Linked DNA regions of Drosophila melanogaster. The protein of the gene in region 1 interacts with the protein of each later gene in a pairwise test. Each region holds a gene or a part of one and is shown on either strand. Other genes may lie near its edges.

Region 1 (5,081 bases):
TTCGTATATGGGCAATGAAATCAGTTATCCACTCAAACCGTTTTTGGTTGAAGACTCGAAGGAAAAGTTTTGGGACAGGTATGTCAAATAATAAGTTAATTTCAATGAAATATTTTCCATCTGCATCTTAATCTTTAATGTAACATACAGGTGCCTCGTCATTGTGAACAAGCTAAGTGATAAAATGCTTAAAATCAATGCTGAGCCGGGATTTTTTACCGAAGTCTTTACTGAGCTGAAATCTTGTGGTCAATATCATCCTACAATTAAATCATACTGTGGAGGCGCCTGACGGATGGACGACCGGGAGATTATTGTCAACCTCTCATTGTCTGCGCATCGCCAGAAATTTCCGGATGAAATGATGGCGAAGTACCGTTAATAAAACTTAATATTTTATAAAACATTAGACAATTTCATTATGTCACTATCACAATCGTTCAAATCAAATAATAAAGATTAGTGTTTAAATAAATTAACATCTACGATATGTGTAAAATCTGTGTTTCCATTGCTGGGCTAATCAATCAATCTCAATCTTATGCAGAACCAAAAGAGAAGGAAAATATTCACCATATATGCAAATAAATGGTAGTTTATTATACATCTTATATACATAAATCGTTTCGTAATCTAGAAACTACTGAGAGCAATTCAATTTGGATACAGTATATCGTAGTGGCCTGGTCGATATATCAGGTAAATTCGGGGCTCGCTTCCCTCGGGGAAATCGTGGGCCTTCACAGTCCCACCTTCGCCACGGTCCAAGTACTCGACACGAACTCCAGCGCCGAGGGCGGTGCATAGAGCGATTATGTGGATGTGATCCGATTCCTTGTACATCGGCTCCACTTCCAGATGGCGGAACGCCTCAATGGTGAGGTCGCCTTCGATGAAATTTTGGTAAAAATCGGCCTCCTCCTGCAGTTTTCCCGAGGTGATCAAACGTAGGTAAACCACCACGTAGTCTGAGTAACCCTGCTCATTGAAGATCTTGTGCAACTCATCTTGGACCGTGCTGTGTCCTCCTGCATTGTCGGGGCTAACGCGCTGGATGACTTCCATGAACTGGACATACAAAAGGCTGCATAAGCATAGGGAATTCGTTTTGCATTTGTACGGCTAAACATACCGTTTCGTGAAAGTCCTCCAATGTAAAACTAGGAAATCCCAGCTGAACGAGCTTCTCCTTGGACTCCTCGGCCAGTTTTTTGAACTCCTGGTAGGCACTGGTGTTTGAGATCAAGTACTCCAAGTAGGAGTAGGCGAAGGCTCGGAAGAAACAATTGCCATCGGGGCGGGTGCGGCGAATGAACTTGTACTTTTTGGACAGATCCTGGATCTTGGCGGTGAAGATCTCGTCGCCACTGTATTCCGCATACAAGCAGGTGAGTGGCAACTGCTCGCTGACCAAGGGAGTTGTGTCGCTGATCTGCAATTATTGAAATTCGGCATTATTTCTCGGTTCATTGTCGCTATTGTGTGTAAGTGTTTCTGCAGACTCACCTCTTTTTCAATATCCCGTTTCTGCTGAATTATTAGTTCGTCGCGATTGCCATCATTATGGGTAAACGGCTCCATGTTTCTCTGAATACTGAACAACTGCGATCGGCGCTTCCTTTCAATTTACTTTACTTTGTATTCATTTGATGAACTAAAAAGAATTCCTGTTCATCATATGTATGTGTAGGCGCATCAAATGTCACACACACAGGTCTAGAGGCGAAACTCACGGACACACTGATGCTTTCGATTTTGTCGCACAGCTATCGTTATCGGGCTTCAATTCCAGTTGTTCCTTGGCTCGAGAATAAAAATAAATAAATATTTGAAATCGCATTTTACAAACACGCTAAACCATTAAAACGGTTTTTAATAACAAATATACGTACATAATTTGTGTATGTTTATTATCTATAAATTTATAAAATAAAATAAAACTTTGAACTGGTTTTCCGCTGTGTAATACGTAAGCTGGGAACTTCAATTGGAACCAGCTTTCAAAGCTTCTCGTCAGAAGATCATCGGCTGAGACTTAAGATTGAATAAGAAATCAATTCAGTTGAGTGTTTTCTTCATTGCTCAGCGAACGTTGCGCTACTTTGATAAATTAAGTAAGTCTTACTAATAGAGTACACTTTATACTAAATAAAATTGGACTCAAATTCAATTTATTGAAAATGTGTAGTTCAGTTATGTGGATATCTGATAGAGTTTAATCTTTTTGGTGGTTTCTATGTCTTGTAACATCTACAATACATTTTTCATCCATATATGTATGTACATGTGTATATACATATTTTAATCAATCAAAAAGATCTTAAAGTTCAATGAATAAAGTGTACAAAATATCACCGCCTCACGTACTTTTATGAGCACAAATCAGCGGCAATGGGAATACATTTATATATGTTAATGAAGAAGAATTGTATAATGCTAAGTTTACTCGAAACTAAAACCAGTTTTTGCCCTATTTTATTTGCAAGGAACATATTGTTAGCAAAAATGGTGAACCTTTGTGTGTAAATGGCAATTAATTAGTGTGTTATAACTTATTATTAACTCTTGCGAAAAATGGAGGGATTGCGCTTACACATAAGAAACTATTTTTGTGTTTTAAAGTAATTATACATGCTTTGTTTTTATTGACAGCGAAAATTGACCCACCGCAATACATTAGCATTTCTTATCGCCAAAAGTCATATTTAAACAAAAAAGCAATCAGGATTGATAATGAGGCGATCTAAAAGAAACAATACGTACATATGTATATATTTGCTCGGAATTTTAGTATTCAAAAAAGAAAGCAAAGCCTCACTGATAAGACAATACATTCTAGAGTTAATTAGGTTAATTGTTCGCCGCATAAACATAAACGTATTCGTATCCGCGTCTCCCTTCCATTAAAATGTGTCACTCTGTTTTGGGGGAATCACATTCACCTTTTATCCGGTTTAAGTGCGATATTCCAGCAATAACAATCATTATTATATTACCAATACTCGAGCTTTACTCACTTTGCTTACCTTCATCTTCATCTCTTTCCTCGAATAAGTGAGCTTTCTGACCTTAATTATGTAAATATGTAAAGAGCATGATTTAATTTTGCTTTCCAGGAATATGATATTACTAAATTGCCTAGTAATATGCCTGTGCATATTTTCCTGTGGTGCCCAGGACTCTTCCTTGGACAAATTGATATCGGACATCTTTAAAACGGACGAAACACCCAAACCATCATCCCCTCCCCCGCCAGTGGTGAACCCCAAGGATTCGTCCGGTAGCACGGGATCCGAAAACGGAGGATCGAGTTCAACGCAGTACCAGTCCTGTGGCGATCAAAAGGAGTGTGTTCCTCGCTGGTTGTGCGCCAATGATACGATTAACACCAGTGGCGATGGTATCATTGACATTCGACTTGGTACGGACGCCGAATGCAAGAACTATTTGGATCTTTGCTGTGATCTGCCCAACAAGGTAACACATACATAAATACCAATAAGCTTTGATTACTTAAATTAAACTATAATTTTATTTGTTAAGAGAAAAGATCCGATTTTCGAGTTTAAGCCTGATCATCCCGAGGGCTGCGGTTACCAAAATCCCAACGGCGTTGGCTTTAAGATCACTGGAGCTGTCAACCAGGAGGCCGAATTCGGCGAATTCCCCTGGATGCTGGCCATTCTCCGGGAAGAAGGCAACCTTAACCTGTACGAATGTGGAGGAGCATTGATAGCTCCCAATGTGGTTCTGACCGCGGCGCATTGCGTTCACAACAAACAGCCCAGTAGCATTGTTGGTAAGTGTACATGCCATCTATGCCATCTATGAGATCTAATTATGAACTGGCATTTAGTGAGAGCTGGCGAATGGGATACGCAAACGCAGACTGAGATCAGAAGGCACGAAGACCGATATGTCAAGGAAATAATCTACCATGAGCAGTTCAACAAGGGATCGCTCTATAACGATGTGGCTGTCATGCTGTTGGAAAGTCCATTCACCCTCCAGGAGAACATTCAGACCGTTTGCCTGCCCAATGTGGGTGATAAATTCGATTTCGATCGCTGCTATGCCACCGGCTGGGGCAAGAACAAGTTCGGCAAGGATGGGGAATATCAGGTTATCCTGAAGAAGGTCGACATGCCCGTGGTGCCCGAGCAGCAGTGCGAGACGAATCTGCGCGAAACTCGACTCGGCAGGCATTTCATTCTGCACGACAGCTTCATTTGCGCCGGCGGTGAGAAGGACAAGGACACCTGCAAGGGTGATGGTGGCTCCCCACTGGTGTGTCCAATTGCTGGCCAGAAGAACCGCTTCAAGTCCGCCGGCATTGTTGCCTGGGGCATCGGATGCGGCGAGGTGAACATTCCCGGAGTGTACGCCAGCGTGGCCAAGCTTCGTCCGTGGATCGACGCCAAGTTGAAGATTTGGAGTATTGACCCCAGGCACTATACACCCTAAGAGCAAAATTGTCACTTGAATTTGTGGGTTTTAATCTTCATGCTTCACAATGCTCTCACTTAATATATGCCCAATATGTTAATACTCAAAATTAAAAAAAAAAAAAATCTTTTTATTTTAAGCTGAAAAAATATTTTCGGAACAGTGGAAAAGGAATAGGCTAACAAAAATTGAATTCAGTTGGCAGCAATTTTGAGCTTATCGATGTCAATTTCAGTCGGAGCACCTGGTCACACTGTCGTCGGTGTGCATGGGGAATAAGAACAAGAAAGATTAGATTCGTGCAGGCCAACGTATTTGCTCTAAATAGAATATCTGCAGAAACATGGACAACTTCGGACTGGGCGGATCGGATCTAAGCAAGGGGCAGATATTCCAGGTACTGGTTCGCCTGTCTGTGGCCTCGCTGATCACATATTATTCGGTGAAATGGATGATGAACCAGATGGATCCGACCAGTAAAAACAAGAAAAAGGCCAAAGTTCTGGCTGAGGAGCAGCTTAAGAGGTTTATATTAGACTCATATAGCATATATTGTACATGTGTAAACCTTTTCCATGCAGGCTAGCCGAGCAGGAGGGCTTCAAGCTAAGAGGGCAAGAGTTTAGCGACTACGA
Region 2 (2,870 bases), on another chromosome or scaffold:
GATTGCCAGTTGGATCGGGCTATTAAGATTGTGTATCTGCCAGATAATGTATCATGATGATTTAAATGAATCAGTTTTGTGAAAAGATTAATTGCCATTAATCACAGTTCTGAATATGAGCTTAGCACCATTTTAATACTTTTTGTTCGGTAAAAGCAGATCCGTTCGAGCACAGAGACCATGTCAAAAGTTAACTATAACTAACCACCATCCACTATCTAGTCAACTCGAGTTTACTTTTGCTACCTTTTGACTATTCGCAGTCAAAAAGGATATTCTCCAATCCGATGATATTTGTAGCCCGATCGGAAAAACCCCTTTTAGCCATCAGACACAGCAGACAAGCCTTAACTTTTGTTTCTCTTAATTGTTGATATTCTTCTAATGTTTGATTTTTTATATGCTTTAATTTTAATTTAAACGATTTGAATATTTTCTATGTATATGTTGATGCGTAATATATCTATCGTAATATTATATAAATATATATACAAAATAAAATAAACATAAACTTTAGTTATTCCTTTTCGGTTGATTCTTTCAATTATCTATGTATTGTCTGAATAATAATGAATACAATTTGAGCTCTTCTTATCCACAACAGAACCTTAAATAGCCTATATCAGGGATATAAACAAGCGAATAGCTACTTATAACAATTAATTGCAAACGCAGCTACCTCAACGTTTTCCGACCGAAAACACGAATAAGAGAGAATAATAGTTAAACAAAGTAAATTTATAATTAAAGAAACTATTTAATATGTTTATTGCATAGCAAACATGTGTAAAACAAAAGCAAAACAACAAATAAAACGAACTTTAAAAGTTACAACTATTTACATACATATGTTAACAAAAACAGAAACTTCTCGAACATAACTAATGTCCACAAATCCAAATGACTTAGACTGAAGCGTGAGTATGCAAAAAGTGTTATGAGATCTGCCCAAAAACCAGAAATTTGTTGAGGTTTATGTGGGCGGGGCTCTTGTCATCATGAGTTCCACTTTACACTTACAAAAGAATAATAAAGAAGCCACAGTTAAATAAAATTGCGAACAGACATTCTTAGCATGTCTCGAAAGTGTTTTCTTTTGTGCTTCACAGGGACGGACAGGTGGTATCTCAGGTGTTAGCAAATTACACATTAGTTATTCAAAATGGTTAATGTTTCCGTTTAAATGTAAAAATCATCATCTCGGTCACCACCAGTCATTGCTCTGGTTCCATATGAAATTTGTGTAAAAGTTTATGTTATTTTTACGCGCAGAAATGATATACATATACCTGTTAATTGATCTATCCTAGAATACGAGAATTCACTTTTCATGGCTCGATCACAAAGTCCGACATCCATTTGGTGTGAAAGTTCTTTCATCAGCCCAAAAACTCAACTCATTCATTGAATATTATGCAAATCAGATACTTTATAAATAAATGGCTTGGTTTATTAAACAAGAGAAATTAGCATACGATACAAATATAATGCGATCGTAAGACAAGACATATAGATCTCAAATGAGCTATCTTAACGGGAGTTTGAATGATTCTCCTCTGTTGCCATTTTTCAAACGCATTTATCCACATAAAAGAAGTGACTGCGATCTGATTTTCGTTAGTTCACAGCATGTCGTCGAATCTGGAAGTTCTCTCTGCGAACTGGACTATTCTGCTGGTGGCACTACTGTCTGTTCTTGGGGGAGTTTTCGCCAAGGATGATGCCTCAGTGCCCCGGCTGATCACCCTCCAAACTGGAAGTCCCGCTCCAGCCCCGCCACAGGAAGTGATCATAGAGGAGGATCACGATCATCAACATTATCATCCGCCACACTATCCGCCAAGCTATTCGTATCCGTATCCTCAGCCACAGCCATGCGGTTGTCCGCCCGGTCCTCCAGGTCCACCTGGTCCACCGGGACAGCCGGGGCAGAAGGGCTATCCCGGCCCCAAAGGATCCAAGGGTGATCCCGGCGAGAAGGGGCCGCGTGGAGATAAGGGCCACCCCGGGATGCCTGGAATCCCTGGCCAACCTGGTCCTCAGGGTCCTCCTGGATATCCCGGAGGTTCATATCCACCGTATCCGTATCCTCCACCTCCTCCTCCTCCATCACATGGACATGGAGGCCCTAAAGGCCACCAGAGGCACTACTATAACTACTATGATGAGGACGAGTATGATTACGGCAATGAGCGTTCTTTTGGTCTGAGAAAAACCGAAGAATTCGACGACCAGCCCTTCATTTTGGCCTTTAGTGAACGCAGAAATCCGTTTAGCACAAAAAACAATAAAAGACGAAATTAAAATAACATTATTTAAAACGAAATAGCTTTGATAATTATTTCTGTAGGTAAAAAGCAGATACCCAATACTTAAAAGGAACTTTCAAAATTCTTTTGAAGAATGTCCTTTTTGACTTTTGAGTGGCTTCGTTTATAAATGACACCAAAAATCATACAAAGTGTGGGTTTATCGATTACCTATAAAAATATACCACGCACTCAGCGTTTAAATCGAAACCTCTTTACAAACTGTATATTATTAGACATTTGTTAAGTCGTTTAAAATCTCACATTACATTAGGCAGAAAAGCTGGCTTAAACTATTAGCAAACATCGTCGTCTAGGGCGGTGTGGTCGTCGCCCTCCTCCTCCGCTTCCTCATCCAATCCCGCTTGCGTGGCACCAATCTCCGCGAAATCATCCTCCATGGTATCCACAAAGCTCGACACCCTATCATCGCAGAACAAACAGACATTAGAAACAAATAACAAAGACATTCGTTGGCTGGCATCACTTTTCAAAGTCGCACTGCGGCAGGAGACCCTCCTCCTTCGAGGCGCTGAATCGGAGCAGCGTGCACAGTCTGAG
Region 3 (4,727 bases), 4.1 Mb from region 1:
ATAAATACTTTATGGAGTGGGAAAGGTCTGGGACAATAAACAAATGTGGCAAAAGATACTATGCCAGTATCGCAGCATGGGGTTGATGTATTCACAGAGTCCTTGAAGGCTATGTAAATATTTACTCGTGATAACGCAACATTTGCTTGTTCTATCTATGTATGTATTTTGTATATCTATTAGCAGCGCTGAATGCATTTTTGTGTAAATTCCTGATCATAACCATTTGGCCGCCGCTCATCCGCTCGTCCGCTGATTTCTTTGACTGCCGGGCAGGCGAACAAGCCGTTTGACAGACAGCGCATGCCCAACGGCTTTGGCCGGAATGGGTATGAGTTATGGTTGGAAGTTGGCAATGCTTCTGCTGTCTGCTGTTTGTTTGTACACTCGGATGTGACAAATGGCCAATTGATAGGAACATGCAAAGAGTCTATCGAATAAAACTACGTACAAAGTTAAATTGACTACAAGACAGAATGTTTGATTTGCTGGAGTTGTCCTGTCAATAACATTTACATTAATCTTGCAGAATATTTGTATATATTTTTAAATTAATATCCAATTCATAGCTTTCTGGGTGTCTGTAATCATAAAATAGAAGACAAAAAACATGTTTTTTTTTTTTAACTAAGAAAACAGACAAAGAGACAGAAGAAGTACTGCTTTCATAAACAGTCACCATATATGATACAAATTGGTTACGGTTTCCAGATAACGCCTTTCCAAACGCTGTTCGCTTTTCGATAGGCGATCTGGCCCGGAGCGATATCAGTTGATTAGCGGCGATCCACTCGAGGAATTCGTTGTGGGCCCCTCGAAATTGTGTCACCGAGTCAAACATTCGAAAGTGGCGAAGAACAAAGGGTCGGATCAACTGGTGAGACCAATCAATCAACCCACAACCTCTGCGATACAATCTACAAGTGCGTAGCTATAAATCCCCATGCCCCACGAAAACCGTAGAGTTCGTAAATCATACATGTCCATATGATATGGTGCACCAATGTGACAAGATCGCATTTCTCTGCTGGAAATTATGACAAGTTGTATGTGCGATTTCGGCTTAATGCCGGCGTCAATCATTGGAAATTCATCAGAGGCCGCGATTGGCGGCGGTCCGCCATTTCCAATTTGGACTGCAAGGCGGATTCGCCGGAAAAAGCGAGCGAAAGGAAAAGTCGGGGAGGGTAAAAACAAATCAACAGTTCGAATTCGCTCTTGTTTTGTTCCACATTCGCCGCAGACGGAAATCTCTTATACGAGCCGGAAGAGAGCGGAAAAACTCTATCGGATTTGGAGTTTCTCGGCGATTTTCACAGAGCACAGGTGAAGTGCCTGGGCCTGGGCAGGTAAATTCAACTCCATTGTGGATAATTTTACTGAGAATTGAAAAACTTAGTTTTTAGCGCAGCATATACAATATAAACTATACTGTAGCTTAAATGATAAGTTTTAAGGAAACAAAAACATAGAAACAACTCCAAATTATGATTTAAATGTTAATTTGATAATATAAATCCTTGCAGGTCCTTTACAGCGCTCTCCACACATAAACTTTGTAAACAGTTCCACCGACGAGCGAACAGAGTCCACAAAAGAGAAGCGCTCGCTCTCTTAGCATCCACACTTACATGCAACGGAGTGGTGCGCTGCACGTTACATTCAATCGGATTCAATCGCTCGTCGACCTTCGTGCCGCGCGTTACAAGAGTCGCAGTCGCTGTCGCAGTCCGCCGTCTCAGTCTCAGTTTGTGCCCCCAGTCTCAATCCAGCTCTCGTGACAAGAAGAACAGAACGCCTTGGCCACTGGCAACGCGGTCGCGAATCAACGCAGTTACCCATCTCAGGCTTAATCGGCTGGCAGCCAATCGCCAAGAGATCCGACAGATACGGATACGCAATCCGCGCAGCGCGAGTGCAGAGATACGAATTGGTCAGGAATAAGATACGGTGCAAGTGGCACCCAAGATGCGGCAATTGTGCACCTGCGGCCGCCAGCAGCGTGCGGCAAAGTGTGTGAAATGTGCTACCTGAGAAAATGCCCACGGAGTGCTCAAACATATCGAAACAAACCAGCAGATAGAGTATCTTTTGCTGCCCCAGTGAACAACAGTGCTTGAAATTTTAGTAGAGAAATCGTTGTTTTTTGCTACAAACTAAAGTGCAAACGGAATACAATCAATATACACCTTAAGTCAACGCAAAGGCTAATTCAAAACTCTTGGAATATTTAGGTGAGTTGAGAGTGAAGAAAGGCCTAACTTGAAAACAATCAGTGCTCAATGCTCAAAGCAATCATGTCAATAAACAGGATTTCCCCATAGAGACTTTGCAATGCATAAATAAATATTGAGTTGCAAACAATCAATTAGTGCGACAAAAACAAGTTTATGTCAATTACTAACTAAATAATTCATTTATCCGAAAAGAAACCAGAAGAATATTGGCCCAATCAAATGTATCTCATCAAGGCGCATTCCAGAGATCAAAAGATATCATTTCCAACCCGTTCTCCCCATTTCTTACGGTGGCTGTCCCCTTGCCTCATTAATTAAACACAAATTAAGAAAGAGCCAAGCTGTCAACATCTGGGGCTAATCAAACTAACCTGCTGTATTTTATAAATAAGAAGCGAAGAAGAAAAGCGGCGGCAGGTCGTAAAACGCTAAGATACTGCCCTTATCTCCTAAAGAAAGATCTTTCTCCGAACACTTTGTGCCTCCGACGGCTGTTGCACACAGATTCTTATCTCGCAGATGCAGTTATGTATCTAGATATTCCGCAGTACAACCTCAACCTCGAGTCTTTGGCAACTTCACACTCCGCTAGACGCGCAACGAGGCCCCTGGATTTCATAATTTTCCCGCTGTTCTGCGGGGTAATTAAGTAGAAGTATGTTTGGCAATTAAAGTTCCAGAGACCTCGCTTTCGCTTTTTCCCCCCGCAATCATCAGCTTTTGTAAATAACTCGAGTTATTTTTCTTGCTCACTTGGGATGGTTTAGAAATTTAAGATTGAGATTGGGCATCCGATGGGTAGCGATTACCGCGAGCTGCGAAGATGCAGCCGCAATCGCGCATGCATAATTAATTTCGTGTAAAAATCATAATTACACCAATTAAAATTTGTGTAAACAAGTTGGCAGCAGGCGGGCGAGTCCCTCAATCTGCCCCAAGCGCCGTTTGGGGCGCAATCATTATGATAATACCGCTGAAAAAACTTTTCGTGGTCGATTGCGAGGGGAACTCTTTATTGCCATTGTAGAAAAAGTTGGTGGGCCCAGGCGGAATTGAGTTGGCTATATTATGGTAATGAGACGTTTGAGTATGCCTCCAATGAACAACAGATTTGCCGCAGATTTGCCCAATCTGCTTTAAACTGCGCCTAAAACCCATAATTCGATGTGCGTGAAAGAATTTAAAGCACCGAAGTTCATAGATGCATCCACATAGCTACCATTAACAGGTTGTATTCAATATTTTATTCAAATCTAACTAAAATACTAAGACAGCAAAGTGATAAAATTGATTAGCAATGAAATTATGAAATGCAATAATCGCTAGTTTTATTTCATTGCCACTGAATCCGAAAAATACGTTATTCATTCAAACGTTGCGTTGAATAAAATGTGAAATATGTTTGTGGAATTAAAAAAGGTGTATAAAACTATATTTATAAATATACAAAGTGTGCAGCTTGGAAATTCATGGGAATTATTATGAATTTATTTTGTACATAAACACACATCTCTTTCATTTACCTGCAACCATCTACCAACGAAATGAAAATGTGTATCTCAATTTTTGGGGGGAAAATATTTTCTTTTGTCAGCTGGGATTACGATGGAAATGGGGCAACAATATTTACCATGTTCTTCTGCAATTTTAATAAGGATCCATTTAAACAGCATTGATTAAACTTTGTTTTCATTAAAATCTAAACAAAGCCCATTCATGCAATGTCAAAAATAAATAATAAAATGTCTAATTAGACCATTAAATCCGATGGCAATATAACAGCCAGCTAGTCGCATTTGAACTATTTAAGTTTAATTTGAAATGCCAAGGTATATTTCTTCTTTAAATAAGTAAAATTCCACCGACGTGCGGCAATTTATATTAGTGTCTTCTTCAACGAATTCAACTTCCATTTAACCTCATTCTGTACACATCGCATCCCCCAGGTCATTTTTCAGGGGCTGGCAAACACAACAGTCAACAAAATTTATACCCAAGAAGTGTCATTCTCGTGTGCATTTCGGGCTTTTTTTTTGCCGCTGGTTCGACGAGATCGTGTCGCTGCCCACATGGCTGCCACCGAATTGCTGGCGGAGACTCCAACTCCTCCGCGTCCCCTAATTAATTAGCATCTAACTAAGAATAATGTTTCCTGCGGCCCTCGACTGTCATAACTTGGCCGCAAGTTTATTTGTTTGGCTCGCCAACCGAAGGCGGCGCACAAAAGACATAGCCACCATTCCGTGAGATACAGATACAAGTACACAGATACAGATACAGATACGGGGGAAAACTGGAGGCACAGATGCCAAGACGGCGCACAGGTGCCACATTTTCTTCGATTGCAGGGGTATAAATGCCGCCAGGAGCACTAATTCGTGGCTGCCACTCCGCATTTTTGTTTGTTAGTTTCGTTTGGCTGGGTTTTTATGGCCAGTGTTGGTTTTTTTTTTTAGTTTTTATACACTGGCGTTCTTGTGTTAACTTGTA

Evidence for each region.
Region 2: the proteins of CG5390 (region 1) and CG14089 interact in a two-hybrid assay, tested with the Drosophila melanogaster proteins (one large-scale study listed by BioGRID).
Region 3: the proteins of CG5390 (region 1) and smal interact in a two-hybrid assay, tested with the Drosophila melanogaster proteins (one large-scale study listed by BioGRID).

Annotation. Positions count from the first base shown.
Region 1 is NT_033779.5:10,303,545-10,308,625, reverse strand, and holds CG5390 (uncharacterized protein), read left to right. Parts: upstream 1-2,031; 5' UTR 2,032-2,114; intron 2,115-3,116; 5' UTR 3,117-3,120; coding exon 3,121-3,477; intron 3,478-3,543; coding exon 3,544-3,799; intron 3,800-3,856; coding exon 3,857-4,464; 3' UTR 4,465-4,557; downstream 4,558-5,081. Other genes in the region: Cdk5alpha (Cdk5 activator-like protein), read left to right, coding at 1-78, 151-292; CG4968 (uncharacterized protein), read right to left, coding at 655-1,068, 1,133-1,432, 1,507-1,581; nmd (no mitochondrial derivative), read left to right, coding at 4,790-4,971, 5,028-5,081.
Region 2 is NT_037436.4:19,279,560-19,282,429, reverse strand, and holds CG14089 (uncharacterized protein), read left to right. Parts: upstream 1-1,629; coding exon 1,630-2,304; 3' UTR 2,305-2,310; downstream 2,311-2,870. Other genes in the region: CG14086 (uncharacterized protein), read right to left, coding at 2,606-2,732, 2,797-2,870.
Region 3 is NT_033779.5:6,177,466-6,182,192, forward strand, and holds the start of smal (smoke alarm), read left to right. Parts: upstream 1-1,667; 5' UTR 1,668-2,234; intron 2,235-4,727.